6 linked regions of the Sus scrofa genome follow. The protein of the gene in region 1 binds, or shares a complex with, the protein of each later gene. Links are inferred from orthologs where the notes say so. Each region holds a gene or a part of one and is shown in the gene's direction. Other genes may lie near its edges. The genes, in order: EXOSC9, EXOSC4, EXOSC2, EXOSC6, EXOSC3 and EXOSC5.

Region 1 (4,415 bases):
TTTTCTTCATTATTCAGCAATCCATACTATAATAACTATTAGTAAATTTTTTTTCCCTAAGAATTTGAAGCACACTTCAATCTTAAAAAAGCTTTCATTCTCATCTTTTCTGACACTGCATCAAGTAGCCATATTTTTGTTATTCAGTTTTCTTAACTTGCTAAGTGTTTCTAAACCTGTGCTGTGGACTCCTGGAACTGCCCAGATTGGAGAGGGAATAGAAAACTCCTGGGGTGATCTTGAAGACTCTGAGAAGGAAGATGAGGATGAAGGTGGCAGTGATGAAGCTATCATTCTTGATAGTATAAAAACGGACACTGGAGTAGAAATCTCTAATATTGGAAGCCAAGGTATGTGAAACTGTATATCTCCTGATTATAGGGATCTTATTTGTATATTAGCAATTGCTTTTTTAGAGGGGCTAAATAACCTGTGATTTAAACAAAAAGGCAATATTGTAACATGTATTAGAGAAATACTGTCCAAACAGAACTCTTTGCTGCAGTGTAAGAAATGTTCTATATCTACACAGTAGTGTGTTAGCCACAAGGCACATGTGGCTATTGAGCAGTGAAATGTGGCTTGTATGGGGAACTCAATTTTAGTTGCTTTAAAGTCACATAGGGCCACATGTGGCTACCACATTAGAGCAGCATTAGAACATAGAAAATTCTAAAAGTACATGAATACTGGAGGGTCCTGATGTTCTTTGCATTCTTAAAAGTGTAGAATTAGTGAAATTGTTCTCACCTGTAGATATTTTAAAGGAAACCAAATTCTGACTTGGTTCATACTAGAAAATCATGAACTGTAAAAAGAGAAATCAAAGGTGCAGTTACTCAATCTGGCTGAGAAAATAGTGAAGGTGGCATTGTTTAGGTTATGTATTGCACATTTCTGCCTGCCTTCAAGGAAAGAGATTATTGCTTGTAAATATTATTGAGGACTTCCTGGAGGGTTTTGTAAGGGGAAAAAAACCCATTGATTGGGAATCTTATTTAGGTTTCCCAGTGGTTACATAGTATTATACATTACACTGACACCAGCTGCTTAAACACAGGGTCTGTGAGTGAATCTAAATCTGCTAATAAGGTTAATGGCTAGACATTTAGTTACTGGCTAGATGAAATAACGTTCAGTGGAGAATGCAAATTATTCTCAAATACAAGTATGTATTGGAAAATGGGTGGAGTGTAAATTGGGACATTTCTGAAGGGATTTGGCAAAAACATCTTTTGGAATGTATGTGCCTTTTTGTGGGGGCGGGCTGTGCCCATGAAATCAGCAGATTCTAAAAAGTAACTCAAGCAGTTCATTTGGCATACTGACTTCAGTTTCCAAATTGGTTCTATAGAAGAGATCTTTTTGATTGACATGTATCAAAATGTTTAGATAACCAGAATATTTTTTAGTAAATCAGTAAGCCTCCACACAGAATTGCTTGGGCTCTTTATCTTAATAGAGATAGTTGATATAAATGCATGTGGAAATTTTCCAAGGAATTATTTATATTCTTTTCTTAACATTTCTTTAAAGATGCCCCAATTGTACTCTCAGACAGTGAAGAAGAAGAAATGATCATCTTAGAACCAGATAAGAACCCAAAGAAAATAAGGTAATAAATTTCAAGTGTATACATATACTCGACTCTTTATTTATTTTTTGCTTTTTAGGGCCGCACCCACAGCATATGGAGCTTCTCAGGCTAGGGGTCAAATTGGAGCTACAGCTGCATGCCTACACCACAGCCACAGCCTGAGATCCGAGCCACGTCTGCCATCTACACCACAGCTCATGGCAACACCAGATCCTTAATCCCCTGAATGAGGCCAGGGATTGAACCTGCAACCTCATGGTTCCTGATCGGATTTTGTTCCCACTGTGCCATGACAGGAACTCCCTACGTACTCACGACCTGCTAAGAGGCTTGCCCTCTAGTTTTATTATCATCTTATCCTACTATAAACAGTAATCAGCAATCCAGATGTTTTTCCTGTGGTTTCTTTAGCCTGAGATTTATAGACATTAGGACTATATGTCTATAAATTCTATAGAACAGCTTGGATGCTTTTCAAGGTTACAGTATTCTGTCACAGATGGCAAATGTTATATCCTACTGGAAAAAGTAAAGTTTGAATCAGCACACTGATATAAGACTGGTAAATCATCTGTGGAGTCAGCTCCCAGTACTAACATTGTTAAATTTACTTTGTTCACAGAACACAGACCATCCATGCAACACAAGAAAAAGGACCAAGTAAAAAACCAGTGAAAAAGAGAAAAAAGAAGAGAACTGCTAATTAAAGTACACATAGTTGTATATTTTGTGTATATAACTATTAAAAAGGTATTTATTCAGTGTTAACAACCTTGGGTGTTATTCACAAATCCATTATAAAATCTAGCTACTTCTTTATACAGTTTTTTCTTTCTTCCCCCTCCCCCCCCCCCCACATTATGCTTTAAAATATACCTCTGGAGAACTTTTAAAACAGGTTTTAAATAGCTATCACTCTGTTAGGTCAAGTGTATAAATTGTTGAGTGAAAAAGCATTTCATAGCATGTGTACAAAGGCTTGGAAGAGTCAGCCAGTTGGCCCAGTTCCTTAGGGGAGTGAATGTCAGCACCTGTCTGTCAGAGAGAAGGCTCCCCAGCCCCTCCCATGGTTTAGTAAACCATGGTTTTCCTGAGTGAAATCTTAAAGTCAAATTTTACTTCAGATTAAATTTGACTTACAAACCAAGTTTTCCAAATCAATTTATTAATTCTTAATATCCTGGCAGCTGGCATCATTAATACTTTAACAAAAGCCACTTAAAATTAGCCAAATATCTAAGATAGTTACATGTACAAAAGATATACAAATTAAAACCATTTAAAAAGTGATAGATACCATAATTTGTACTTGACCATAACTTGACCATACTTGACCATATTCAGAAATGATTGTAAAATTAAAACCTAAAAAAAAAATCTGTACACCATATACTTAGAGTGATTTACATCTTAGAAAACAAAGGCAGTCTTTCACTGTTAAATATTTAGTGTCTCTGGTGGGTTGAGGAGAGAAACACCATGATACCTGTAAGTAGGGAAAAAAATCCATTTTTAGTAAATATTCATTGCATGAAGCAGATCATGAAATGATACACACTAGGAACTCACAGATGCTAGTTCTGTCTACTTGAATTAATGGTTATAAAATCATTGTCTAGTACCCCAAATTTGCATGCATGCTCATTCCTCTCCCCTCTTCCTCAAATACAGGACAGAAACCTTTAACTACAACCTATTCAAAACACATGGCTTGCCAAGAGAAGAGCTGCCCGGGGAGGCTGTGCCTGATTTGTGAATCCCCTAATAAAGTTAAAATGTCAAGGGTTTCTGAACCATACAATAGCCTGGAAAGCAAGCTTTTTTAGTATCCATTGTTGTTCATTCTTACTTGGAATTTTTGTATTTCTCTCTTATTGACTGTTGTGCATGCTGTGGTGCTCTGAGGTAGGTCTGGTGAAGGTCCAGGAGACAAGGCTTAAGCGTTTCCAGCGTATATCCAGTCTTTTGTACTAATGATTCAGGCTATAGGAGGGAGAGAACCATTGAGTCTCATTTTTAGAAAGAGACACTAAACACAAATTAGTAGTTGGCATTAAGCTTGAGTTTTGTTAAACTTCATTACTAACACCCCCCAACTAACATCTTCCAGTTTTCTCAAGCTCTTTTTTTTGGACTTCAGTTTTTACTATTTTCCCTGCCAAATCCTTTAAGCACAAGCACATGTTTCTAGTCCAAGTAATAACTAAGCTTTCAACCTAACAAATAGATGCTTTTAAACAGGTACAAGACATTTTATGCTTTAAACAGTGTTGAACAACTCTCTCAGTTCAGTACATCTGGACAACCATCAGTTGTCTATGTGGCATAAACATTTAAGCCACAAGATAGATGTGTAAAGATGTTGTAATACATACCCAGCTTTGTCCCGTGACTGTGTAGAGTGCTAAATGAAAGGCTGCTGCAGCAGTAACTGATGGCAAATACTTTAGGTACGGGTCAGCATCTATCAAACTTAACTCTCCCAAAAACTGGAAGAAAAAAAAAAATACATTTTATGATCCTAAGAGCTCTGGAATTCAAACTTGAAATCCTTGCGTTCTGGTCTTACATTTTTTTTTTTCTGTCTTTTAAAACTGCTCTAAAGCAACCATAGGGGAAAAAAAATCCATAGCCACATCTTTAAATATATCCACTATCAGTGTTTTTGCTTCATTCCCATCATGTATAGTTCCTCTAATAGCTCTTAAATCAACTCTTTTGGCTATCATTTCCGGGGAAGTCATCGTCATAGCACCACCCCTAGTGCTTTCTCAATTTATATTCCTTTTTGCTGGTGATAGGCTTTCTTTCATACTGT
Region 2 (5,447 bases), on another chromosome or scaffold:
CCAGGTGTGCCAGCAGGGCCACAGCTGGCTGACCAGCCCACAGGCCCTGGTATTCTAGAAGACCACCGCGTTGGAAGGATGCTGTGCCTGGGCCAATGAGGCCCTGGACCAACACAGCATGTCCGTTCTACTTGCGCTTCTCATAGCCTGAGGCTGAACCACTCCTGCTGAGAGGCAGGGTCCATACCCTCCCCTGGAGCCTGCCAGACCTTTATGACTGTCCTGACCCACAGAGTCTTGCAAGAGGGACACTACACAACTTCTGAGGCAGGGTGTCAAAATACCATGTGTGGCCACCTTGTCTCAGGGGGTCACCTTGGTGTCACGCTCAGAAGACGCCCCCGCTGAGGCTGAGGCCAGGGGTAGGTGTGCCATCTCATAGCCCCAGTGAAGTCCCGCTCAACAGCCAGCATCTACCACCAAAACGTGCAGGAGGAAGCCTTCAAGACAATGCTCGTCGCCATCTGCAGTGACCGCAGGCAGGCTGCCCAGCTGAGCCCAGGCAAGCCCCAGAACTGTAAGACATAGGGACATATTTAATTTTTGTTACTTGAAGGCACTAAGGCTCTGCAGCAAAGGATAAACAGACACACAGGTCCATGCAATCCCTTTCTGGAAAGGATGAGGGTATCTGCATTCACAAATGGAAAAAGGAGGCCCACTTCATTGCCTATGGGAGCTGGCCGTGATGGGAGAGAGCACAAGACAAGTGTGGACCTTGCTGGGATGGGGCCTGTGCCCCTGCCTAGGCCCTGTGAATGTCGCTTCCTGTTGGTGAGTGTTGCAACCCTGTCAGTTCATCCTTCCATGTTCAAACAGAAAGCATGGGACCTGGCTTCCTGGGTACTGCAGAGGGGCTGAATAACGCAGCTGGAGAAAGGCGGGTGAACTCTGTTAGCGACCTTGCCCTCAGTGACACAGAGGTACCTGGAAACAGGAGGCACCTGGGGAGGAAAGCACCTCATTTCTCCCTCCTGTAGACCCGTCAGCAGTTCCAGTGGACTTAACTGACATGAGATGCTGGAATAGACCAGGTCAGGAAATGCAAGAGGAATTACACGATGTCAGTAACAGTCTGCAAGCTGGCAAGGATTAGATTAAAAAAAAAAAAAGTAACACTTTCTGGGTGGGAATTCACAGCCTTCACCCAGAAAGCCTTCCATTCCCCAAGCCCGTGGACACACACCCACTGCCCCCAACTCGGCAGTTACCCGTACATCCGCCCCGCAAGTATCAAGCAAAAAAATCAGAGCTCCGCAGGATTAACTGGACAGACTTTGTATTTCATATATATGACCATGTGTACGTACAACATAAATCATGTGCTTCCTTTTTAAGTGAACAAATGTAAAAACTGTACAAAAGAAGAGAACAGAGAGTCTCAGATTGGGAGAATAAATGCATTTAAGGTCGCAGAACTTCGAAGCCATGAGAGACAAAACGATGCTTCCATTCCAGCAGCCGCTGCTCTCACCCGCGAGCCTCGGAGAGACTCCAGGGGGTCCAAGAGAAGCCAAGGCGCGTCAACTGCGCTGGGGCTGGTGGCGCGCAGCGCAAAGCCCTGGCGCCCAGGACAGCGTGGGACGGGGGGGGCTCCCAGGGTCGTGGGGACCGCCTCGAGGATGCCAGCACAGCCGGTCTCCCCCGCGGGCGGCCGCGGAGAAGCAAGCCCAACACTTGGCAGATTTCCCTCCGCCGCCACCCCCAACGCCGAAACTCCCCGGGCGCCCAAAGTGGGGCCGCAGGGAACCCCGCGAGAACCGCAGTCCTCCGAGCCGGAAGTGGACGCCGGCGCCCCGGAAACCGTGGGCCCGGAAGGTCGGAGGTGGGGCCTCAGGGCCGCCGGGAACTGTAGTTCTCCGGAGAACGGAAGCGGGGCTGGCGGCCGGGCGGCATGGCGGGGCTGGAGCTGCTGTCGGACCAGGGCTACCGTGTGGACGGGCGGCGCGCCCGGGAGCTGCGCAAGATCCAGGCGCGGATGGGTGTGTTTGCGCAGGCCGACGGCTCGGCCTACATCGAGCAGGGCAACACCAAGGCGCTAGCGGTGGTCTACGGGCCTCACGAGGCGAGTGGGCGCGCGCGTTGGAATCCGGCGGCGGCGGCGGCGGCGGCGGGGTGGGCGGGGATGGGTCGAAAGGTGAGGCCTCCGTGTAGGGCCGCGGCCGAAGCCCTCATGGTGTGATGCGCGTGGTCCCTGCCTGTCTCGTCGGCCCCTGTTCCCTGCGCCCTCCACTCGTCTTTGCTCCTCCTCAAGGCGCCAGGCGTGCTCCCCCTCGCTTCGCTCCCTCACTTCTCAGCTCTGCTCCGACGTCACCCTCCGCGGGTCACCTCCCCAGACCACCTTACTCACCTGTCAGTTCCTCTCCCCTACAACCACACACTTCCCTGCCTTTCTGCATCCGCCAGCTCAGACGTCGGTTGAACTTATTTCTCACGTTTGTGTCCCCACTGGAACATAAACTCCGTGAAGACAGGGACTTTAAAGAAAACCGCCTGGGTGTATGGCCCCTCCAGCGCTGGAGGCATAAGGATGAAAATAAGCATGACATGCTTGCAGAGTAGAAAGGCTGATGGTGAGGAAGATGGGAAATAATTCCAAATGAGACTGAGGGAATTCTAGGGAGGCAAGAACTCAGAGCTTTGTAGACAGGGACAACATTTAGGATTTTTTTAATCTCACCCGTGGTGGGAAGCCTTTAGAAGATACGTGACATATGTGGCGTGCAGAAGAGACAGATCAGACCTGACGTTTGGAGAATGGCTTGGAAGACATGAGTCAAGGATGGAAACAAGGAGGCCTGTTAAGAGAGATGAGATCCAGAGTGATGATGGCTTAGATGCTGGCCCAGCAGCCCTCCCTTAGGTCGTGTTTTGGAGGTGAAGTAGTTGCTTGTTGAGATGCTGGAGGTAGAGGGAAGGACGGAAGGAGGCAGGGAGGCCAAGGCTCAGGACATGCAGCAGAGGAAGGGGTAGCATGAGCTGGGAGGAGTGGGCCTGGCTCACGTGTCCTTCCCCCCCACCCTAGATCCGGGGCTCGCGATCACGAGCCCTGCCGGACAGGGCCTTGGTGAACTGTCAGTACAGTTCTGCGACCTTCAGCACAGGTGAGCGCAAGCGGCGGCCACATGGGGACCGAAAGTCCTGCGAGATGGGCCTGCAGCTGCGTCAAGCCTTTGAGGCAGCCATCCTTACACAGCTGCATCCTCGCTCCCAGATTGATATCTACGTGCAGGTGAGCAGGCAGCAGCCGTCAGCTGCGGAGGGGAGAGAGAAGGAGGGGGTGGGGGTCGGGCATCAGCAGCCTAATGGACTGACACCACTGGGGGGGGGTGTCACTGCAGGTGCTGCAGGCAGATGGTGGGATCTATGCGGCTTGTGTGAACGTGGCCACACTGGCAGTGCTGGACGCCGGGATACCCATGCGGGACTTTGTATGTGCCTGCTCAGCTGGCTTTGTGGATGGGACAGCCCTGGCAGACCTCAGCCATGTGGAGGAAGCAGCTGGTGGCCCCCAGCTGGCCCTGGCCCTGCTGCCAGCCTCAGGCCAGATCGCACTGCTGGAGATGGATGCAAGGCTTCATGAGGACCACCTGGAGCAGGTGCTAGAGGCCGCTGCCCAGGCCGCCCGAGATGTGCACACCGTACTGGACCGTGTGGTCCGGCAACACGTACAAGAGGCCTCGATCTTGCTGGGGGACTGAGTACACGGCCGCCCAGGCCCAGAATAAAACTCACACGCGCTCAGTCCACTGTACTTTGATCTCCCCAAAGCACCTCCGTGCCCTCAGAGCCCGGCCCGGAGCTGGCTCCAGGGGCGACAAAGGGTGCTCCCTACGCGTGAACTGCGTAACCCTTGCAGCCTCAGGATTCCAACCCTGAGGAAGGGGGCGGTGGGTGTCCCTGGGTGAAGAGAGGCGCTTGTGTCATGAAGGGTTCAAGACAGCTGAGCAATGTGGCAAGGCCTGGTGTAATGAGCCAAGCCCTCATACTGTGGAGTCTGATTCTCACTGCAGCACATCCAGGGCCTTGAGCACAAGTGCTGAGGGAGAACTCCTTTGGCTATGGGTGCCACCAAGGTGATGGGGGGGCACCTCCCACATCCTCTGGATTATGTCTTGGACTGAATGGTCCCTTTCCCCCCAGAATCCCTTGAGCTTGTCCTGTGGCTTATCTTGAGCTCTGAAAGTACAACAGCGACATGATCTTGGCTCTGGCCCTTTCTCAGTCTGACCCAGACACTCCCCAACCCATGGTTGCACCTTCCTTCCAAATCTCTTTCTGCCTCCTGCTGTCAGACCTGCCTGAGCCCTGACCACCAGCCCCTGCTGTCTGAACTCAGGGACTACTTTTCTAATATCCCAGATACCTGGCCTGGACAGGCGGGCTCCCCATTTTCTATTCCACACACCCAAGCTCCTTTGCAACCCCTTTTGGCCAGCAGTATTCATGCACCTTCCTTCCTGTGGTCATCTGGCCCCACTGACCTTGGTTCTGGGCACAATACGTGATTCCACTCGGGCCCCTACTGCTGTTTTTTGGTGACCGACATTCACAGGAATAGGTCCGCCATCGCCTTGGCCTCAGCTCACAGAAGCCCCTTCACTTCCCGCGAGGGCACTCAAGCCTGTCGTTGTCAGTGGCAGCAGCATCTTCAGACATCTTCCAGTGTCTACGCTCTGGTCGCTGCTTCCGGTTTTCCTCCCACCTGCCCCATTCATCATCCCGATTCTCCTTCGAGCCGAGCGTTCTCGACTAGTCAGTCTTCATTGCCCTCCGGCGCCACACGCCGCGGTCGGCCGGCCTGGAGGCTGCTCCCGTTCTGCGCCAGCGAGGAAACGCAGACGCGGGGGCAACTCCCTTCCCAGCAGCTCTGCTCGGGGCTTGCGGGGTGGGGGCGCGACGGGCGGCATCGCGCACGCGCAGCGGCGCGAGGCCCGCCGGGACCGGAAGTGCGGGTGGGCGCGGAGCCCCGCGGGGACCGGAGCGGCGCGCCGGGCCGGGTGCCGTAGCTGGCAGCGGGGAGCGCGGTCCCGGAGCCGCCCGGCCCTGCCATGGGCCTCCTGTCGGACCCGGTGCGCCGGCGCGCGCTCGCCCGCCTGGTGCTGCGCCTCAACGCGCCGCTCTGGTGAGGGGGGTGCCTGGGAGCGGGGGCCGGAGGACCGGGGCTCGAGCTGCCGGGGCCCCTCCGGGTGCTCGCGCCAGTCTTCTCCCGCCCACCGGCATCACTCGGGGCACCAGGCCTGGGGCTCAGCCCTCCCGTCCGGCGTCCCGGGTGCTGGGACTCGGGATCCAGGTCCCACAGATATGACGCCTCCACCCCCCCAGTGCGGAGGTAGAGGCTACGGGCTGGCATCTCGGAGCCTGCTAATGCTCCAGCGGCCCCCTCCGCCCCTCTCCCCGCAGTGTGCTGAGCTACGTGGCGGGCATCGCCTGGTTCCTGGCGCTGG
Region 3 (4,733 bases), on another chromosome or scaffold:
CCTACTGCGCCACCAGGGAACTCAACACGGTAAGCATTTTTGACTTGTACTTTGTGAAATCTAGGAAGCCACTGGAGGAGGTAGGGCAGAGGAGGGATCTGGTCTGACTTCTGTTTAGATGAAATCACTCTGGCTGCTGTGGGAGGACGGGGCAGGGGTAGGGCACTGCTGACCTAGACTAAGGTGATGGCAGTAGGAGTGGGCAGAAGTGGCCACGGTGGCATGTATTTTGTGCTCTGAGTGTTTTCATCATGAGAAAGTGTTGGATTTTGTATTCTTGGGATTTTCTGTACTAGAAGACCATGTCTGTGAGAAAAGAAAAGATAGTTTTATTTCTTCCTTTCCAATTTGGCTGCCTTTTATTTTCTGCCTGTATTTTAAAGGTAGAGGCGGTAGGCTCCATTGCTGGACTTGTTCTGCAACATGAGAGAAAGAGAGATTGAGACTGAGAAATATGAAGGGTTCCTTCAGGGATTCTGGCTTGAGCAGGTGGAGTTGCTATTTCCTGAGATGGTGACAACCAGGAGCGGATCCGTTTGCTGTGGGGGAGGGAGGGGGGCTGCTGGAAAGCTTTGTCTTAGGCGTGTTTTGCAAATTCACACCAGTGGAGGTGCTGGGTAGCCAGCAGTCGACTAGAGTCTGGAATTGAGGGGAGGGGTACGCTCCTCGGGAGTATGTAAAGCCGCCTGGCTGGATGAGCTCAGCACGTGAGTGTGGGCTGAAATGGGCGGAGGCCCAAGGACTGAGCCTTCAGTCTGGAACACTACATCAGTAGAAGCGGGACGAGGGACTGGCAGCCAGTGGGTGAGTGAGACAGCGAGTAGACTGGTTTGGGTGATGTCCTGTCCCCTCTGGGTTCCAGAGCCCAGCAGAAAAGAGTCCATGCTTACCATGTTCATGCAGTTAACAAAGAAAGGGTTTCAGGCTTAGGGAACTACTTGCGATAAATGGTTTAAGACTAGTTAACAGAAGGAGTTCCCATTATGGCACCACGGGTTAAGGATCTAACTGCAGCAGCTCAGGTCGCTGCTGAGGTGCAGGTTTGATCACCGGCTGGGCATAGTGGGTTAAGGATCCAGCATTGCCGCAGCAGTGGCTTGGATTCGATCCTTGGCCTGGGAACTCCCATATGCCTGCCGCAGGTGTGGTCAAAAAAAAAGAATGGTTAACAGAGGCTGTATGTATAGGAATGTTTTGAAGCTATCAGTTCCTAAAAATGAGTCTAGAGTGTAGTTAGATAAATTAAATAAATGTGGTGCCTAACCAAGGCCCCCCCGCCCCCCCAGTCTGGTTTAACTGACCTTCCCAGTGGGATTTGGTCTCATGTTAAAGTCTTTTCACTACTGGGTGACCTTTTGTTTCATCTTTCAGATATAATGGTGAAGTGGGGGACATTGTAGTGGGGAGAATCACGGAGGTAAGTCAAGTCTGCCAGGTTGGTTTTCCCAAAGTAGAAGCAAGCTGGTGACCTAGTGAATGGGATCTTCGTTCTAGATGCGGTTACCTGGCCGAGGCATGTGCCGTGTTTTGGTGTAAATGGTTGGTTGGTTACGTTTAGGGTTATCAGTTGTTTACAGTGTGCGCTCTGGCCCCCGGGTATGTGTCCAGGTTCGGGGTTTCTTTGTCTGTAGGTCCAACAGAAGAGGTGGAAAGTGGAGACCAACTCCAGGCTGGACTCGGTCCTGCTTCTGTCATCCATGAACCTTCCCGGAGGAGAGCTGGTGAGGGTCTCCGGTGGGACTGGACGGTTGGTTGGCGAGGGCTCTGGGGTCCTTTGCTTCACCCACGTACTTGCTTTCCACTGAAGTTGCCACTTTGACCACTTTTGTGCTGCCCGGATGTACACGGAGGCTTTTCACTTGGCCCAGGCTCCCAGCTTAGGCAGCAAATGGTGTACGCTAAGATCTGGAAGGTCCCCGGGGGACCGATCCTGAAAGAGGGCTGATCTCTTTCCTTTTCTGGGTATACCAGCTTCGCTCCCAGAAGGTGTGACTTGAAAAGTCATGTTTAGATTATCTTTTCAGGCACTCAGTGGCTTTTGGTCGTTTCAGACGACCACAGTCCCTAAGCTGCATCCTTTTGTAAAAGGCCACAGTTCAGCTTTATCTTCAGTCCCACATCTTCTCTAGAGAGGCTCGCTGTGCCAGGCTTTCTGGAGAAGGGCATGATCAAGAGGCAGGACCGAGTGTCTGGGAGAGCTTACAGACTAGAGGGGGTCTGGGAGACGGTTCCTGGCAGCCCCAGGATGAACCACGTACAAAAGGAGTGAATAATTTCACTGAGAAGAGCTCGAAGGAAAGAGGGGTGCTGGAGTTGATCCTCGAAGGCTGGATAGGATTTCAGCAGTGAGTTCAGGGAGTCTGAAATTGGAACGCGTGAGCAGAGATCGAGTGAAGCCGGAGGTGGTGGGTCCGCTGGAGCGGGGCGGGCAGCCACAGGAGGAAGGCACTGCAGGGCGGGCCGCGCTAGATTGGGCGGGTCTGGAATATCATGGAAGGAGCTGGAGTTTTATCCAGAGGAAGGAGAAGAGGAGCTGTGGGAAGCCTATAAGATGGAAAGCAGTGGCCGTCGCTTCATCTTCCTTGAGTGGCACAGGTTACCCACTCGGCCTGTGAACGCAGTGGCTGGCTTCAGAGACCTCAGAGGAAGTGAGAGAGAAGGGAGGGTGGCGAGAGCTCCCTCCTGGACCTGCCTTCAGTAACGCGGCCCTGTCTCTGTGCATTCCAGAGGAGAAGATCAGCAGAGGACGAGCTGGCGATGAGGGGCTTCTTGCAGGAAGGGGACCTTATCAGTGTATCCTGCCTGCTGCGTTCCGCGTCTTCCTGTCTGCTAGGGAGCTGGGGCGCGGGGCTCCCCTTGTAGGCCTCCCACAGGGGAAGCATCATCCCGGCAGGGACCTGAGTCCTTGACCGAGTGTGAAGGGCTCTGCAGCAGCCTTTCCTCACTTCCTTCACCCTGGCCGACCCTCCAGCTCTTGTTCGGACCTGCTGCCACTCCGTCCTGTCCTTGGGTCTTGTAACTTACGGTGGCCCAGGCTCTAAGCTAGCTCGCATTTTCCTAACGATGGGAGCATTTCTCCCAGGAAGGAGAAAAGGTGGTGTCAGGTTGTCCATGACCTCCATGGTCACAGCAGTGTGACCTCTGGGTCTGTCTACAGCCTCGGGCAGGAGGTTGGACCTGAGAGGAAAGGCTGGAGGGGGGGGCCAGGGAGGCAGGTGACGTGAGAATGTTTGTTCCTTCATCCGGAACCGGCCAGGCTGAGGTCCAGGCAGTGTTCTCTGACGGAGCCGTCTCTCTGCACACGAGGAGTCTCAAATACGGAAAAGTAAGTTGGGCTCCGGCCATTCCCATGTGCCAACTGACTTCACATCCATTTCCAATTCCCCTGCGCTCTCGGGAATGCCCACTAAAGAAGCCGAGCAGCTAGGCGTTAGTGCACTGCTGTCCCCGACGCTGAGTGACACCGTTGGCAGCATTGCAAAGGACGACAGCACTTGACCTTTTCTACTGAGGAGATGTTCTGGCAGAAGAGCCCCTATGCCCTGTGGCCCTGTGCCCCTGCCATCTGTTGAGGGCACGGCAGCCTTGCATTGCATTTGCACTGAGACATAGTCCTGGGAACAATGGGAGGTGGAGGGCTGCTGAAACAGGATGGCCCTGAGACAGACAGCCAGTCAGTAAGATGGAGATTGTTAGGAAAGATGGGTTTGCTGCTTGAGCCTCTAAATGGGAAATTTCACTGCATTTCTATTTTAAAGGGATGTTATTGAGGCTACTTTTTTTTTTTTTTTTTTTTTTTTTTGTCTTTTTAGGGCTGCTCCCATGGCATATGGATGTTCCCAGGCTAGAGGTGGAATTGGAGCTGTAACCACCAGCCTACGCCATAGCCACAGCAATGCCAGATCTGAACTGTGTCTGCAACCTACACCACAGCTCACGGCAACGCTGGATCCTTAACCCACTGAGCGAGGCCGGGGATCAAACCCACAACCTCATGGTTCCTAGTCAGACTGGTTTCTGCTGAGCCACAGTGGGAACTCCCAGGCTGCTTTTTAAATGACCTCATACTTTGCAAAACAGACTGTGATTATTCATCCCTTGGCTTTAACTGGGTGAGCGTTCGTTTTCTGAGCGGAACAAAATCCTCTGTCCTTAGTAGAAGGGCTGCAGCCAGTCACGTTCACGTCCTCGAAGCAGGCAAGGGGACGCTGCCCTGCACGTGCTGCCCGTCACGGGCCGGGGTCGGAAGTAGACGGCCCTCAGCCGGGGTGGGCCTTGAGTTGACCGGCAGACCGGGGGTGGATGGACCTGTACCAGCCCTCAGTCGGTCCCCTTGTCCAGTGGCACACATTTCGTGGGCAAGACAGGTGTACGGTCAAGGCGGAAGAGAACAGTGCTCTCTGGCCCATAAGAGGCTCGAGCCCATGTCCTCATTGGCTCCAGCTTCTCGGACAGCCCTGGATTAGAAAGTGGGGATGATTACACGGGAGAACAGACGGTGGACAAGAGACCGAGAGTCATCTTCTGCTGGGATGTAAAGAGCGGGATGCATCCAGAGTGTTCTGGGCAGAGCCACTGTGTGCGTGTGCACATCGGAGCAGCTGTCCACAGAAGGGCCTAATTCCAGTGTAGCCAGGACACACTCTACCCTGCTTCTCATTCCCCTCCCTGGTGATCCTGTGGTGACCCAATTTACGATGTGTTTTTTTAGCTGGGTCAGGGCGTTTTGGTTC
Region 4 (4,659 bases), on another chromosome or scaffold:
TCTTCTAGAATATAGCCAACCGGGGCCTGAAAGCCAGCGAGTGGGTGCAACAGGTGTCAGGCCTGATGGATGGCAAAGGTGGTGGCAAAGATGTGTCCGCTCAGGCCACAGGCAAGAACGTGGGCTGCCTGCAGGAGGCGCTGCAGCTGGCCACTTCCTTTGCCCAGCTCCGCCTGGAAGATGTGAAGAACTGAGGGGGAAGGGTGGCTTCCACAGGGAGGTGTCTCCTCACTCAGATGCATCCGTCCAACCAGGAGCTCTCCGTCTGCCACAAGGGACATTTTAATCTTGGGACCTTTAAGCAGCCCCATCTGTCCTCCTAACCCAGCAGTAACTGTAACTTAACCTGGGAGCCAGCCTGTGACTCAATGCCCTTGTTACATTTCTGCCCTGAACACGTCAGCACCATCTGTTAGAACCACTACCCTAGGATTGCTGTTTATCGTTGTCAAGCTTGTGTCTATAGAAAGAGTTCTCTGTAGACCCAAGGTTCTGGGCCTGCAGGAAGGAATCATTTTTTGCTGCAGAGAATAAAAGGACCATGTGCAATACTTGATAATGCCACATGATCGCTTCTCTCCCTTCCCTCCCGCACATCCTACCCATAGGCACCCCTGGTGTGAGAGCCTGTGGCTCCCCGGGTGTCTGTAGAATAAGTGCTCCAACTGGCTTCTGGTTGCAGCCATTGCCAAGTCTAGCCCTAGACCCCTGAACTTTGGGAATAATGGCTCAGGACTTACATGTAGAGGTGGCCCACAGAATAGGGGGGTTAGATGAAGAGAGGCATTCATCATTCAATGGAAGGTGATTCAAGGGATTATTGGAGGCAGAGAGAATCTCCTTGGAGCCTCTTGTAGGAAAACCTTTCCATTTCTTAGGCCCATATCCCTCTTCCTCTTGGTGTGCAGGTTGGGTGTAGATCAGAAGCATTCTTTGGTATAGGAGGCATTTAGGGTAGATCACTTGCTTCCCTCCACTCCTTTGCCTGTCCCCTCATTCCTGGTTCCAGGACTTAAAAGTTGGACATTGAGGATGGAGACTCTGACCTGGTTTGCCCCTTCACCCAAGTCTGAAGACAGCTAGGTTTGGAAGCAGCAGTGTATAGTAGTTGGTTGTGCCCCCTCTGGCTGATTTCCAGTCCACTGGGTACAGCAGGCTGGCTCTGAGGCCGAGGGTCATTTCTCAGTCCTGCTGACTTTGGAGAGAGGAGGAAAAGCAGGTCTATGGCAGCTGAAGCAGCAGAGGCCAACAGTCACAAGGCCTGGGAATGAAAGGCTGTTCTCACACGGAGTTATGAGAGCTAGGTAGAAGGAAGGTGCTGAGGCCCTGACTGCAGCAGCTGCATGCCTGGTATGGAGTGTCAGGGATACAAAGAACTCACAATCCAGTGCAGGAGACAGTTCCATTTATTCATTAGCAAGCGTTTATGCCAGCCAGGGCACTGACAGTACAGCAGTGACCAAGACAAAAGGTCACTGCACTCTTAGGCAAGGCAGTAGGAAACAGAAAATTGTCACACGGGAGTTCCAGTTGTGCAGTGGGATCATTGGTGTCTTGGGAGCGCTGGGACCCTTCGATCCTCAGCCCAGCACAGTGGGTGAAGGATGTGGTGTTGCCACAGCTGTGGCTTTCGTTGTGACTGGCTGATCCCTAGCCCAGGAACTCCACATGCTGTGGGATGGCAAAAAAAGAAAACAAAAAACAAAAAAATAATCATACAAATAAATGCAAAATTAAAATGACTACAATTTCACATCGGCTAAAGGTCGGCCAAGCAGGTCTAGGTCCCACTTCTGCAGGCCTGCCTCACAGCCACCCAACCACGAAGCACCTGGTGTCCTCGCTGCTGCCTGGGGCTCTACAGCGCTCGCCGTTCTCCCTCCGGGGCGGCAGGGGTCAGTGCAGCGCCGCCCGCTGCTATCCCGACAGCCCTCGCGCGGGCGCGCGACTTTAAGCGAGCGGAAGAGCAGGCGCGCGAGGCAGGACGGGCGGAAGTGGCTTGTACTCTAGGTGCTGCCATGCCCGGGGACCACCGCCGCATCCGCGGGCCTGAGGAGTCGCAGCCGCCGCAGCTGTACGCGGTCGGCGAGGACGAGGAGCCAGCCGCCCGTGACCCGACGCGGCTGCGGCCCGTGTACGCGCGCGCCGGGCTACTGAGTCAAGCCAAGGGCTCGGCCTACCTGGAGGCTGGAGGCACCAAGGTGCTGTGCGCCGTGTCCGGCCCACGCCAGGCCGAGGGCGGCGAGCGCGGCGGCGGCCCGGCCGGAACGGGCGGCGAGGCCCCGGCCGCGTTGCGGGGCCGCTTGCTCTGCGACTTCCGCCGCGCGCCCTTCTCGGGCCGACGGCGCCGCGCTCCCCCAGGCGGCGGCGAGGAGCGTGAGCTGGCGCTGGCGCTGCAGGAGGCGCTCGAGCCGGCCGTGCGCTTGGGTCGCTACCCGCGCGCGCAGCTTGAAGTGTCGGCGCTGCTGCTCGAGGACGGCGGCTCGGCGTTGGCCGCCGCTCTCACGGCCGCCGCGCTCGCCCTGGCCGACGCGGGCATAGAGATGTACGACCTGGTGGTGGGCTGCGGCTTAAGCCACACTCCTGGGCCCGCACCCACCTGGCTGCTGGACCCCACGCTGCTCGAGGAGGAACGCGCCGCCGCCAGCCTCACCGTGGCGCTCATGCCGGTGCTTAACCAGGTGGCCGGGCTGCTGGGCAGCGGGGAGGGTGGCCCGACAGAGAGTTGGGCAGAAGCCGTGCGCCTGGGTCTCGAGGGCTGCCAGCGCCTCTACCCAGTTCTGCAGCAGTGCTTGGTACGGGCCGCCCGCCGGAGGGGCGCCTCCGCGCCGCCTTGAACCATAAGTGTGAGCAACGACGCCGAGGAGCAGGCTACCGCTGTCGCCGAAAGAACCCGAGCCGTCGGCTTGCAGACGGCGCTGAGCCAAGAACTAGAGCCCGGGAGAGGATCTGGGAAAGTGCGCTCAGAACTGATGTGCCGGACAGCTGTGTTTTTTTTTTTGTTGTTTGTTTTATAAACTATCGTTTAAGAAACTTTTCTAATTGGGTTGGCGCTCAGCTACGACCCAGTTGAAGAAACCTGCTACTGCAGTCTGATTTCCAAGGTGGAAAGGACTTTAGGTGGACTTGCCTGAAAAACGGGAACCTGCAGCTAGTGCCTTGTGAGGGATGGACCCTGTGCGGGCCACTTAGTGACTGTCTCCTATCTAATGGGCCTGCTTTTGAGATAATAGACAAGGGGGTTGTGTCTTCCCACTTCTATCTGAACTAAAACAGAAATTCTTTTATAGCTGAAAAGTTCTTCTGTTGTTCTTCTTGGTACAGGATAGAGCAAGGCTCTCCTGAGCTGTGTAGTGTGTTCTTGGACTCAAGGCTTGGGACAGTATTATTTTAAATGTGTCCTGGTGTCCCTGGTCCAGTCTTGGTTCCTGGAAGAGGACATTTGACTGCCAAGAGTGAGAGTTTCTGAATGTTGGGAAACTAGATGCAGCCTGTTCCATTAGGGCAGAGCTGGCCTGTCTGACCACAAGGGTGGACTCGTCCCTGTGTGGCTCCGGAGCGCTGTGGGTTTGTGCTCAGGTCTGGATTGGAGAAAGGCCTGGCAGCCTGTTCTCCTCTGCCCTGACTTGGTGTGAGCTTCTGAGCTTGTGTGTCTCCGAGGCCTGCTCAGCTTCTCTAGAAAGGGGCAGTTGAGAGACTGTAGTGAGGCTTTGAGACTACACTAAGGACCCCTGACCAGGGAAAAGAAAATTTTATTTCTCCTCAGTGACATATTTTTCCAAAGCAGATCTGAAATATGTAAGATCACACCAGCAAGAGACAAGGTAGAAACAACATAAAAGTGATACTCCTGCTGAGACCCAGAGAGGACAGGTAAGGCTTTGGCGAGGGGCGGGGAGAAGCAGCTAGGGAGGTACCTGTAGTCAGAGGGCTGGTGGTGCTCCCAGGGGGGCCCTTTCCAGCTGCCTCTTAACAGGAGTGGCCTCAACTTTATGAGAATGGTGAGCTGGTGCTGGGCACTTGGAGGGCTCCTTCCTTCCCCGCTAGCCCCCAGATGGTCATCTGGAAACATGATCCTCAAGCTAAAGTCAGCACTGGGGGGAGGCTTCCCAGCTGGACTGGCTGAGCCATGCCTCCACTTCTTTGCGCTTGCTCCAGCGTGGGTGCTACTCAAGGCAGGGGATAGGAACCGCCGAAGAAAGTGCCTGGAGCTGATGAGACTGGGGGAGTTCCAGCCTTCTACTGGCTGCCCTCCTGGTCTGATGCGTGATTCTTTACCTGTAGAAGAAGCAGAAGCAGGACTTTAGCCCAGAGGGCTGAGAGGCAGGGTATGACTAGGAAAAGGAGGTTCAAATGCTAACACCTTCTAGTCTCCCATCCCCACCTCCCTTTCTTGGCAGCTTTGGCCTCAGTGCTACTGTAGACCTGGAAACCCAGAACCATCAGACAGAAGAAGGCATTTTTCTCCACCTAGCTCAGTCTTGCCTAGATGTGACTCAGTCTTGGGCGGCAATAAGGGTTACCGTGGAGCCCAGCAGGCCAAGGGGCAGCCAGAGCTGGCAAGTGGAGGAAAGGTAGCTCCTCACTGCGAATCCCCCAGCAGCCCTGGCCTTGCTGAGATGACCCCAACAGCGGTAGGGGCTTGGCCTGCCTCAGGGA
Region 5 (5,627 bases), on another chromosome or scaffold:
TTGTTTAAATTCTTTACTTGAATAAAGATAGTGGATTCTTTCACTATTAATTTCTGCATATAAACGAGCATGCAATTCATTTGTAATTTTTAGAAACTAGTGAACTAAAAAAAAAAATTTTTTTTTTGGATTTCTGTCTTTTCTGGGCCCTCACCCACTGCATATGGAGGTTTCCAGGCTAGGGGTCTAATTGGAGCTGTAGCTGCTGGCCTATGCCACAGCCACAGCAATGCCAGATCCACGCCAAGCCTTCGAAGTACACCACAGCTCACGGCAACACCAGATCCTTAACCCACTGAGCAAGGCCAGGGATCAAACCCGCAACCTCATGGTTCCTAGTCAGATTTGTTAACCACTGAGCATGACGGGAACTCCCTAAAAAATTTTAAAGGTTCATTCAAATACTACTTCTTTTGGGACACCTATCCTGACTCTTATCTTCTTCCCACATAGAGGTAATCATTTCACCCATTGTACTCTCTGGGCTTTTACCCTAATCATATTGTTACAGACACCATAGCACTTGGTATTCTCCTGTGGCCACACTGAACTCCCCCAGGGCAAGGACCATGATTCAGCCAACTTCCTGGTTCAGAGCAAATGCTCAACTAGTCTTGTAGACTGAAAGCTACAAAAAGGCTCAACTTTACCAATCAACAAAGCAAAGCAGCCATGAGATACCACTTTAACAACTTCTCAAATAGCAAAGATTTCTAAAGAGGAAGTTTTGGGTAAGAGTCCAGAAGGCCAAGGTTTGGTTCAACCTTTCCAAAGGGCGATTTGGTAATTTTCCCAAGGGAAATACTGAGAAATGCAGAGGTAAATCACAGAGGCAGTCAAGTGCAGCACCACCTCTACTGCACTGGCTCCAGGTCAACAAGGCCCCCAGGCAAGAAGCAGGCCTAATCCACTCGGTAGGATCTGCCAGAAAGGCTCAGGAAGGAGGCCAAAAACAAGGTACGGCCTAGGAGCTAGAAGGTCCGTGGCCGATTGCACGGGCCCTGGTCTCCTATGCATTCCCCAGTCACTGAAGCCACTTTCACAGCCAGAAAACATTGAGCACGCCTTTCGGAAACAAGAACTTCGCAATCGCGGCCCAACGCCTCACTTAGTGCCGCCGTCAGGGTTCGCGGCTCCTAGCCGGACTCCGCACACTTGCTAATGGCCTCGGCTTCCCACGCAACCGCATGCAGGGCCTGCCCGCTGCTCCCATTTCGCGCTTACTCACCAGTGGCCACACGGCTCCGCGGCGGCGAAGCACCTACGTGGTGACACGCAGTGCCCAGGCCAGGCTGCCTTCCCGCCTCCCGGGTGCCTTCCAGCGTCCCACCCTCTGGGCACGCCCTTTTGGGAGGGTCGCGCAGAGCACCGCCCACGAGGTACTTTCGACCCGCCCCTCCCGGCCTCAGCTTCCTGTCTCAGGTAACCACTCTTTTCCAGGCCTCTGGTCTGTGGACTTAGGGATGTGCGTGCCCACGTGCCACCCCCACAGAAGTGCCCTTGTTAGGACTCCTCAGCCGTATCTGGGCTGAGTTCCTGACAGAGACTCCTCTACTGATGCCTGAGAGGCCATCCAGGGATCGTTTCCTGACCTCTCAGGCTGTAACCCAATGTCACTGAGCACAATTCAGGCATGGTCTTGGCCCAGTCGTGATTGAGTTAGTCTTGGTCACCTAATACCTACTGGATTCAGGTCTTCAGGAACTGGGTTGGAGTAGGGAGGAGAGAAAAATAATCTACACCATCCTTTCTGCAAAGGTAACCAACCAGATTGTTTTTACAGCAACTGACTACAAAACAAACAACAAAAATTACATTTCAGTTGACCTCTGGTATCTTATTTAGGTGTCTCACCAGTATCTTACAGAGTATGGAGAGTATATTAGAGGTAATCTCTTTTAAATATGATCAGAGCCACACCCTCCCAAATCCCCAGGAGCTCTGACTCCTACGATTATTTGGCTAAGGCTAATTGGAGGTGCCAGTTGACAGAGGAAACGGTGATTTAAAATTTTTTTTCTTTTTTTGGCCGCACTCGAGGCATGTGCAAGTTACTGGACCAGGGATGGAATCTGTGTCACAGCAAGGCCCCGAGTGAGAACTCTGGAAAATGATTTCAAGTGAGAGTCCTGAAAATCAGAAGAACAGAGCTGATGTGCTATTGATTTGGAATTCAACTGCTTTTCACATAGGCAACTAAAGCTAGCTCCAGGGAAAGCAGTAGCAAGGATTTAACTGCCATTAGCGATTTTTCTAAGCCAGCTAGGGGTAGCGCAATTATGTGGAAATATGCATGCAATATGTATCTATTCGAAGGGAGGAAAAAAGCCTAGGTAGAAATGCACATCAAAATGTTAACATTCATTCTTCCTTTTATTCACCGGGTATTACCTACTTCGTGCCAGGACCTGCGCTACAAACAATGGGAACTAGCTGACAATCTAGCAAGGGAGACAAACGGGCGGCAAGACTAACACGTTTTATGTTCTTATTCTTCTCTATGTTTTCCATTATGTGAATAGATATATTCTCAAGCAAAACCCAAAAAGATTTCATACTGAAAAAGAAAACACTTTTCCTCGTAAAGGTCCTTTTGAGGGCAGAGTCAGAAAGGAGAGCCAACTCAAGAAGGACCTCTGCTCAGTTCCTAAGGCTCCCCGGGAACCAAAGGTGGCGCCGTCTCGTATCGCACCGTCCGATCCGAGACACCGGAAGTGGAGGCTCCGCGACAGACTCAAGCTGCGCGTTTCTCCTGCTGACCACCGCAGGATTAGCGGCCGGCTAGAGACAATCATAGCTACCTTGGGGCAACCTCTGAGAGCACAGAACTGTCAGGCATCACTGCAGTAGTTTCAAGTCCCACAGGCCTGTGCTGCCGGAAACGGAAAGCTTTGGGTGGCCTGGCGATTGGACGCGGACCCGGAAGCCGGAAACTGTTTAGTTACACTCGCTATGGCTGAGCCAGCCGCTCATGCTGCGGAGTCCTTTGCTGGTTGCAGGGCGCGGGCAGCCCGTACAGTGCTGGATCAGGTGGTGCTCCCGGGTGAGGAGCTGCTGCTGCCTGAGCAGGAGGACGGAGAAGGCCCAGGAGGTGCAGGGGAGCGACCGCTGCGCCTGAACGCCGGAGCGCGCCCGCGGGTGCGCGTGGTGTGTGGCCCGGGCTTGCGGCGTTGTGGCGACCGGCTGCTGGTCACCAAGTGCGGCCGCCTCCGTCACAAGGAGGCCGGCGGCGGCGGCGGCAGTGGCGTCTATTGGGTGGACTCGCAGCAGAAGCGGGTGAGCCGGGTCTCCGAAGGGGTGGGACGGCCGGGAGAGGGCTGGGAAGACTCCTCGAGAGAAATACAGAAGGGACCCTGGAGCCCTCTTTTAAGGCTAGCCTACAGCTACCGTAGTCTTGTGCTTACCCTCCGCAACTCCTTTAGGGGGACTGTGAACAACTGTAAAGTGACCCGAGATGGGCGACCAGGAAAGGATTTTGGAGATCTTGTCACATAAGGGGATAAGGGCTGTGAGACACGTCATTATCTTCAAAACTCCAAAAGTCAAGGAGCCGCAGACTTGTCTTTGAGGGTCCCAAAGAACCAGGCTCAATGAGTAGATGTCACAGGGACTTATGCAAACAAACCACTGAACTCATGCAAACAAAAACTAGGGAGTTCCTGAGGATACAGGAACAGAAGGATACAGAAGAGTTGTGGAATACTGACTTAAGTGAACACATTATACTGTTTAGAAGCTGCAATCTTTAGAGCTTATCATGTGATTGCTTTTCTTCTACTGAAGGTGGCATGTGATCAAGTTTGTTTTAAGATTTGTATTGATTGGTAAACTTGGATTTCCAAATATTTTCTAAGTATTTCTAATGATAATAAAGTAACCACTAAGGACTTGCTGAAGATGTCTTCAAAATGACTGTCATTTATGGTCATTCATTCTCTCGTTGTGTTTTCTTTTGTAGTATGTTCCAGTCAAAGGAGACCATGTGATTGGCATAGTTACCGCTAAATCTGGAGATATATTCAAAGTTGATGTTGGAGGGAGTGAGCCAGCTTCTTTATCTTACTTGGCATTTGAAGGTGCAACTAAAAGAAACAGACCAAATGTTCAGGTAATGACAGGACCTTTGGTTTCAAAAGTAAGAAAAATACCCAATCCCTAAACACTCAGATATCCAGAGGGCTATCTTAAGTGTCTTATTTTCCCAGTTTCTATAGGATGACTTATCACTCCAGGCTTTAAGAGCCCTTTGAGATGCTCGCTCTGGGACCAGACCTCATACTTATTTTTCATTTGCTCCATCAGGGGATGTTTTCATCTCTACTGAGTTGAAAGATTATATCTGTTTTCTCCATTGTTATTATGTCTATATGCCCTGGACAAGGCAATAGGCTCAGGGAGGAAAGAGGGGAAAGTGGTGCACATTGCCATGTCAGTTGTCTATCCCAGTGTGAGTCCCAGGAGTAGCATCTCACAGCTTGTCAGATCACTTTCCCAGCAATCCCTTTTTTGTAGCTGACAGAGGTGCAGTCATGTTTTCATTTGGGGCTTTTCAGGTAGCATGGTCACACTCTTCCTGCCAATCTAAGTCAGAAATTTGGTGGCTTCTTTGCTCTTCTCACTCACCTCTCTTGTGTCTTTATTATTTATTTATTTATTTATTTGTGTCTTTTTAGGGCCATGCCTGTGGCACATGGAGATTCCCAGGCAAGGGGTCCAATCGGAGCTACAGCTGCCAGCCTACACCACAGCCACAGCAACGCTGGATCCTTAACCCACTGAGCGAGGCCAGGGATCAAACCCTCAACCTCATGGTTCCAAGTTGGATTGTTTCCCATGCACCACAACGACGGAACTCCACCTCTCTTGTGTCTTTAGTTGTTTAATCTTATTGATCCTTTTTGAGTCTTACCTCTGATCTTCCACATGTCCACCCCTTTATCTCCACTTTGCAAGTTCAGGCCTTAGCTATCTCTCTTCACTGACTTAATCTGTGACCTCCTTATTAACATCCTTTTTGTACACTTTTGCCCCTCCATCCAGGCTTTTAAGAACTGACACAACTCTTTCTCCCCCTACCCACGCCACCCCCAAAAGTTCTTTAAAGCTTACGTATTTCCTTGGCTGATACTCAGAGGTCTCCTCTCATCCATAGTGATATTCTCCATGTGGCCCTGCCTGAATCCCACCAAACTATGTAACAGCCCTGTACCTTTGCCCATGCTCTTTCCTCTGCTGGGTTGCTCTATTCCCAACACATGCTTGTCTTTCAAGACCTAGGCTGAACACCACCGCCTCTGTAAAAACACCCCTGATTTTCAGTCACTTTTTTCTTACTGGATTCAACTAGAATGAAATTTGTTATTTATATTGTACATCCCCACTACCCTCTGAGACCAAGGAGGGACCTCTCTGGTTCCTATAGTCACCAAAAATAGTAAGTATTTAACTTAAAAAGGTTGACTCCCCATTTCCTTAGTTTCATCATTTTGAAGTTAAACTCTTTGAGGTTTTTAAAATAAGTCTTGCATGGAAAAGTGTCAATGAACTACCAGTGTTGTGTTTTGCTCTGAATAATTTGCATGCCAGGAGTTTCTATAATTCCTTAGAGCAGTGCTATGCAATAGAAC
Region 6 (5,499 bases), on another chromosome or scaffold:
TCAAGTGACTCCCTTCCCAGGCCCACCCACACCTCATTCCCAGCCTATTCTCCTTCCCTGGCTAGAGCTTCTTCCTACAGATTCCATCTTCCCTTCCTAATAATTGGGGATTAGCCGGTCTGGCCCAACCCCACAAAAAGTCTTATTTTTCTTTCATTTTTCTTTTTTGGCTTTTTAGGGTTGCACCACGGTACATGGAGGGTTCCAGGCTAGGGGTCAAATTGGAGCTACAGCTGCCAGCCTACACCACAGCCACGCTGTTTCCAAGCCACGTCTGCGACCTACACCACAGCTCACAGCAACGCAGGATCCTTAACCCACCGAGCGAGGCCAGGGATGGAACCTGCAACCTCATGGTTACTAGCAGTATTCATTTCCTCTGCACCAGGACGGGTACTCCCCCACAAAGTTCTGATAGATTTCCTCACCAACCCAGCCCTTTTCCCTCATCTCCAAAGTCAGTTTCTGTCCCCTTTCAACAGCAGCCAAAATCCACTCTGCCCTCGTCATGGGCACATCCAGTCCTTGGCACTCTTCTGTGTTCTTCACAACAATCTGTTGTTAGCATTTTACTGGCTGGCGGGGGTGGGAGTGGGGGGGATTAGGTCCAGAGAGAAGCAGTCCCTTGCCCAAAGCTAAAAAACTAGAAAACAGCAGATCAGGGATATTGGTCCCACATGGTCTAGCTTCAGAGCACACCTTCTTAACTACTTACATGTGAAAACAATCCACAGCTCTTCTGCAGCCCACTGCCTCTCTTCCCCTTAAGAGGGGCTCCCAATTAGATTTCTGCTGTGAAAGCTCTCATCAACCTAAAGGAAGGCTGACCCTGCGACAAGAAATGAGGCATTTCTTACGTGTTCCTAAGCAATGTGGACAAGTGCTCTGTCTGGACCTCTCTCCCTCCTCGTCCACCCTCATTAGCTGAACAAATACTTACTAATCATCTCCTTTGTAATGATCAAGACAGACAAGGTCAACAGCCAGGTACTGCATCAGGGGACCCAGGATCAAACGACTTTTTTACACGATTCATTTTAAAATCAGAGCAGGAGTTCCTGTTGTGGTTCAGTGGGTTAGGAACCGGTCATAGTGTCCATGAGGATGCAGGTTCCACTCCTGGCCCCGCTCACTGGGTTAAGAATCTGGCGTTGGCCCCCAGCTGCGGTTCCCATTCCACCCCTAGCCTGGGAACTTCCATATGCTGCAGATGCCCCAATAAAAAGTAAAAAAACAAACTAAAAAAAACCAGAGTTGAAGCAAAAAGGCACTATAAAAGCCTGTGCTGGGGTATCTGCTCTCTCTTCTCTTCTTGGAAGGGGGAGTCTTTCCCAAGAAGAAAATCTTTCCTTTGTAAACGCAATTTCACTCTCCAACCCCTGAGGAGAAAGGTCACACTTTCCCCCCATGTCCTCCAAGAGGCCTCCCCGGGGCATTGGTGGCAACTAATAAGAAACGCCCTCCCTCACTTTCTCCACGTTGTCTTCCTCCCTGAGGGTCCACAAAGAAGCTGTCCCGCTTTGCCTCTCCTAAGGAAGTGAAACTTCTTCCCTTGAGGGTCCGCTACAAGATGTTTCTGCAGCCCTTCTCCCTTCAACCGCCCTCCATGTACTCCCTACAGGGACGCCACACTCTGAAGAAGGAGTTAACATTTCTATACCTTCTCGGGTACCTCCCCAGTACTCACAGATCTAGCCAGACCCCGAGCCCCAAGCCGCCGCAGAAGCAGGAGGCCAGCCTGGCCCAAGCCTTGACTGCGCTCCCAAACCCTCGCCACAGCCACCGCCAACGCCATCTTGACCATTAATACCTCAGAGTAGCGTCCCCCTCCTTGGCGAGACTGGGGCTGCCCCTTCAGGAGCCTGACTCAAATACCAGGATCGCTCTGCCAAGAAACCACCTGCTACTAATCCTGCGGTCTTTAGGACACATATATAGGTGGGTAAAATAATCCAGATTTCCCCAAATTACTCCGATCGCTTCACCGGAGTTATTCCTCTTAACAGGCAAAGCAGAGGGCAACTGAGCTCGGCTTCAGGGTTTCAGGGCCCCGGGGCCTCGGGTAGGACGAGCTCATGCCAAGGCCCGCCCTCTCTTCCCTTCTGTCCAATGGCTTTCCTGGACTCTCTAGGCGGGAGTAGGAGGGACCAGATTGTTAGTAAACGCAGAGACACGTGCGGGCGCGGATCCCGGAGGGCCCCGCACCCAAGTTGGCGCTTGCTCATTGGGTACGCAGTCTGTACGCAAGCGCGCGCTTCTGGGCGGAAGCGACAGTCCCTGCTGCACGTGGGCTCCCCGGCGATGGAGGAGTCGATGCAGACTGAAACCAAGGTACGCCCCGAGTCTGGAGCAGAGTCTGGCCCTCGGAGCCCCAGCTGTACTCTCCGGCACTTTGCCTGCGAACAAAACTTGTTGTCCCGGCCCGATGGCTCTGCCTCTTTCCTGCAAGGTAAGAATTTACCCACGTCGTATTTGTTCTCGTGGGCGGGTACAGTGTATTGTGTTAGCTGGTAAATATCTTCTTGGACTGATGCAGTTCTTGCCGGAGTGAATGGTACTGCATATGCCAGTAGACAAATAGAAGGGTGAAGATACCTCCACTCTGGTAAATATGCCTCAGGATGAGAGAGGGGCAGACCTTCTCTTAAGAACGAATACTCCAGGGACTTCCCTTCGTGGCTCAGCAGTTAAGGAACCCGACTAGGATCCATGAGGATGAGGGTTCGATCCCTGGCCTCCCTTAGCGGGTTAAGGATCCGGCGTTGCTGTGAGCTGTGGTGTAGGTCGCAGACACAGCTCGGATCTGGGGTTTCTGTGGTTGTGGTGTAGGCTGGCAGTTGTAGCTCTGATTAGATCCCTAGCCTGGGAACTTCCATGTGAGGCCTGAGAGAGCAAAAAAAAAAAAAAAAAAAAAAAAGAACGAATACTCCAGAATAGGGGAAATCTCACCGTGTAAAAAAAGTCCTCCTTGACTAGGTTCCTCCCACACATGCACTCTGGATTCATCTATCCCTGGTTGAGGCAAACCTGTTCTTTTGCGTAAATACCTCGTAGACTGGCAAATCACCACTACTGATTTTTTTTTGTTTGTTTTTCTTTTTTCTTTTTTTTGCTTTTTAGGACCGCACTTGCAACATATGGAGGTTCCCAGGCTAGGGGTTCAAATGAAGCTGTAGCTGCTGGCCTACATCGCAGCCACAGCAATGCGAGATCTGAGCTGCATCTGCGGCCTACACCACAGCTCACGGCAACCCCAGATCCTTAACCCACCGAGCGGGGCCAGGGATTGAACCCATAGCCTCATGGATACTAGTTGGGTTCTTACCCGCTGAGCCAAAATGGGAATTTCGTTGTTTTATATATACGGAGTTGCCAGGCTGGGGATCACATCCAAGCCCCAACTGTGTCCTTCCTATGCCCTTAGAGTGGCAACGCTGGGCCAGGGTTCCTGCCAATTCCTTTGTGCCACAGCGGGAATTCCTGAACACATGTGTTTTTGCTAAGTACTGTTCTAAGCACTGAGAAATCATAGCTAAAAAGGTTTTTTGTGTTTTTTTAATTTCTTTTTTTATATTTTTTTCTGTTTTATATAAGTTTTTAAATTCCTGCCCTAGAAGAGTTTCCATTTCCATCAGAGAAACAAGTGATAACTAAGTAAAACTTAGTAAAAGGCTATGGAGGAAACTACCGCAGGAAGGAAGAATAGGGCGTGCCAGAGAGGGGTGCAGTCTCAAATGGGATGGTCAGGGAAGGCTTCGCTAAGATGGTACCATTTGAATAAAGATCTAAAGGTAAGGGAGCAAACCCTCAAGACAGTAAGAGAAAAGCATTGGGGACAAGGGTAAAGGCCCTGAGACAAAAACTTGCCTGGTGTGTTTGAGGAGCAGTCAGGAGAGCAAAGTGGCTGCAGCAGAGACAGGAGGTCAAAGAGAGGTACGGAGGACTGCCCTTCATGCAAGTTTCTTAGCACTTAAATACTGAGCCTCTTCCATGTTCTAAAACCCCAAAGCCCAGGACCCTGGAGCAGAGTCCCTCAAAGGCCCTCAGAAGTGTGTCTCACATGCTCCTGGCCTCAGAATCTCTACTGAGGTTAAGAATTCCGAGCCCCAGGAGTTCCCTGGTGACTCAGCAGGTTAAGGTTCCAGCATTGTTACTGCTGTGGCTCAGGTCCAAGCTGTGGCAAGGGTTTGATCTCTGGCCCAGGAATTCCATGTGCCGTGGGCACAGCCAAAAAAAAAAAAATGCTGAAGCCTCAGAACCCACCCACACCAGCTAAGTCTGGCCCTCTACACTTTTTAATCCACTACAGCGGCAATTCTGATTGCAGGCCAGCGTTTTGAAGCTGTGCACCAGCTCCGTGTCCTCCCACTGCAGGTTGCAATCCCCGCTGCACATTAGAATGGCCTGTGGAGCTCACAGGCTGCCGGTGCCTGAGCGCCAGCCCTCAGCAATGGTATTAGGCTCTCTGAGGGGAGGGGCCTGTGCATCAGTGTCTTTTAAAGCTCTGCAGTGAGTCCAATGTGCATTCGTTAGTGATTCTTTTTTTTTTGCTTTTTGTGGCTGGGCCTGCGGCATATGGAAGTTCCAGGCTAGGGGCTGAATCGGAGCTACAACTGTTGGCCTACGCCACAGCCACAGCCACATTGGATCCTTAACCCACTGAGCAAGGCTAGGGATCGAACCCACATCCTCATGAATATTAGTTGAGTTCTTTAACCTCTGAGCTGCAGAGGGAACTCCCTGAAAAAAAATTTTTTTTTTTTGTCTTTTTTGCTATTTCTTGGGCCGCTCCTGCAACATATGGAGGTTCCCAGGCTAGGGGTTGAATCGGAGCTGTAGACACTAGCCTACGCCAGAGCCACAGCAACGCGGGATCCAAGCCGCGTCTGCAACCTACACCACAGCTCACGGCAACGCCGGATCGTTAACCCACTGAGCAAAGGCAGGGACCGAACCCGCAACCTCATGGTTCCTAGTCGGATTCGTTAACCACTGCGCCACGACGGGAACTCCTGAAATATATTTCTTATTGGGGGTTATGGTCAGAAAAATTTGGAAGCTACTGTTTTAGTTCAGCCTCTTCATTTTTGCAGATGGTAAAACTGAGGCCCAGAGAAGTGAGCAAAATCAGCTGAGGTTACAGAGCCAGGAGGAAATGAGCAGGAGTTAGAACCCACCCCCACCCCCCAGGTATTTATTGGGTTCTCAGGTATCCTTACTGCTGCAGAGTTGAGAGCTGGGCTAGGGGAAGCTGTGGGAAGAGAAGTTGGGACCAGCAGCAGTAAGAGGGAGGGAGGTTAGTGCAGGAGGGACTTCCCGGTGAAGTTAATAACAGCTTAAGTCTGTTGAGCACTCAGCAGGGGTACCAGGCAGCTCCTGAGCCTTTTTCCTTTAAGTGGATCATCTCATTTAACCCTCAACAGCTGTGAGGGAGGAGGTATCGTTTGACGGATGGGGAAGTGGAGGCAGAGAAACGAAGCAAGTGCCCCAAGAGTCACT

What was found.
Region 2: EXOSC9 (region 1) and EXOSC4 share a complex: the UniProt entries of both Homo sapiens proteins name them as parts of the RNA exosome core complex. The link is inferred for Sus scrofa from reciprocal best matches to the Homo sapiens genes EXOSC9 and EXOSC4.
Region 3: EXOSC9 (region 1) and EXOSC2 share a complex: the UniProt entries of both Homo sapiens proteins name them as parts of the RNA exosome core complex. The link is inferred for Sus scrofa from reciprocal best matches to the Homo sapiens genes EXOSC9 and EXOSC2.
Region 4: EXOSC9 (region 1) and EXOSC6 share a complex: the UniProt entries of both Homo sapiens proteins name them as parts of the RNA exosome core complex. The link is inferred for Sus scrofa from reciprocal best matches to the Homo sapiens genes EXOSC9 and EXOSC6.
Region 5: EXOSC9 (region 1) and EXOSC3 share a complex: the UniProt entries of both Homo sapiens proteins name them as parts of the RNA exosome core complex. The link is inferred for Sus scrofa from reciprocal best matches to the Homo sapiens genes EXOSC9 and EXOSC3.
Region 6: EXOSC9 (region 1) and EXOSC5 share a complex: the UniProt entries of both Homo sapiens proteins name them as parts of the RNA exosome core complex. The link is inferred for Sus scrofa from reciprocal best matches to the Homo sapiens genes EXOSC9 and EXOSC5.

Annotation. Positions count from the first base shown.
Region 1 is NC_010450.4:102,264,639-102,269,053, reverse strand, and holds the end of EXOSC9 (exosome complex component RRP45), read left to right. Parts: intron 1-165; coding exon 166-350; intron 351-1,536; coding exon 1,537-1,615; intron 1,616-2,219; coding exon 2,220-2,304; 3' UTR 2,305-2,347; exon of another isoform or gene 2,348-2,368; intron 2,369-2,779; exon of another isoform or gene 2,780-3,034; coding exon of another isoform or gene 3,035-3,083; intron 3,084-3,268; 3' UTR 3,269-3,398; downstream 3,399-4,415. Other genes in the region: CCNA2 (cyclin-A2), read right to left, coding at 3,035-3,083, 3,447-3,580, 3,973-4,086. UniProt on the Homo sapiens protein: Non-catalytic component of the RNA exosome complex which has 3'->5' exoribonuclease activity and participates in a multitude of cellular RNA processing and degradation events.
Region 2 is NC_010446.5:617,748-623,194, reverse strand, and holds EXOSC4 (exosome complex component RRP41), read left to right. Parts: upstream 1-1,858; 5' UTR 1,859-1,894; coding exon 1,895-2,065; exon of another isoform or gene 2,066-2,798; intron 2,799-3,025; coding exon 3,026-3,232; intron 3,233-3,341; coding exon 3,342-3,701; 3' UTR 3,702-4,202; downstream 4,203-5,447. Other genes in the region: GPAA1 (glycosylphosphatidylinositol anchor attachment 1 protein), read left to right, coding at 5,052-5,125, 5,404-5,447. UniProt on the Homo sapiens protein: Non-catalytic component of the RNA exosome complex which has 3'->5' exoribonuclease activity and participates in a multitude of cellular RNA processing and degradation events.
Region 3 is NC_010443.5:270,751,016-270,755,748, forward strand, and holds part of EXOSC2 (exosome complex component RRP4), read left to right. Parts: intron 1-1,371; coding exon 1,372-1,417; intron 1,418-1,631; coding exon 1,632-1,721; intron 1,722-2,727; coding exon 2,728-2,793; intron 2,794-3,256; coding exon 3,257-3,325; intron 3,326-4,711; coding exon 4,712-4,733. UniProt on the Homo sapiens protein: Non-catalytic component of the RNA exosome complex which has 3'->5' exoribonuclease activity and participates in a multitude of cellular RNA processing and degradation events.
Region 4 is NC_010448.4:13,294,233-13,298,891, reverse strand, and holds EXOSC6 (exosome complex component MTR3), read left to right. Parts: upstream 1-1,949; 5' UTR 1,950-2,018; coding exon 2,019-2,837; 3' UTR 2,838-3,301; downstream 3,302-4,659. Other genes in the region: RNA-binding Raly-like protein, read right to left, coding at 4,240-4,278. UniProt on the Homo sapiens protein: Non-catalytic component of the RNA exosome complex which has 3'->5' exoribonuclease activity and participates in a multitude of cellular RNA processing and degradation events.
Region 5 is NC_010443.5:238,538,438-238,544,064, reverse strand, and holds the start of EXOSC3 (exosome complex component RRP40), read left to right. Parts: upstream 1-2,308; 5' UTR 2,309-2,952; coding exon 2,953-3,276; intron 3,277-3,958; coding exon 3,959-4,108; intron 4,109-5,627. UniProt on the Homo sapiens protein: Non-catalytic component of the RNA exosome complex which has 3'->5' exoribonuclease activity and participates in a multitude of cellular RNA processing and degradation events.
Region 6 is NC_010448.4:49,378,506-49,384,004, reverse strand, and holds the start of EXOSC5 (exosome complex component RRP46), read left to right. Parts: upstream 1-2,257; 5' UTR 2,258-2,301; coding exon 2,302-2,449; intron 2,450-5,499. Other genes in the region: BCKDHA (2-oxoisovalerate dehydrogenase subunit alpha, mitochondrial), read right to left, coding at 1,688-1,804. UniProt on the Homo sapiens protein: Non-catalytic component of the RNA exosome complex which has 3'->5' exoribonuclease activity and participates in a multitude of cellular RNA processing and degradation events.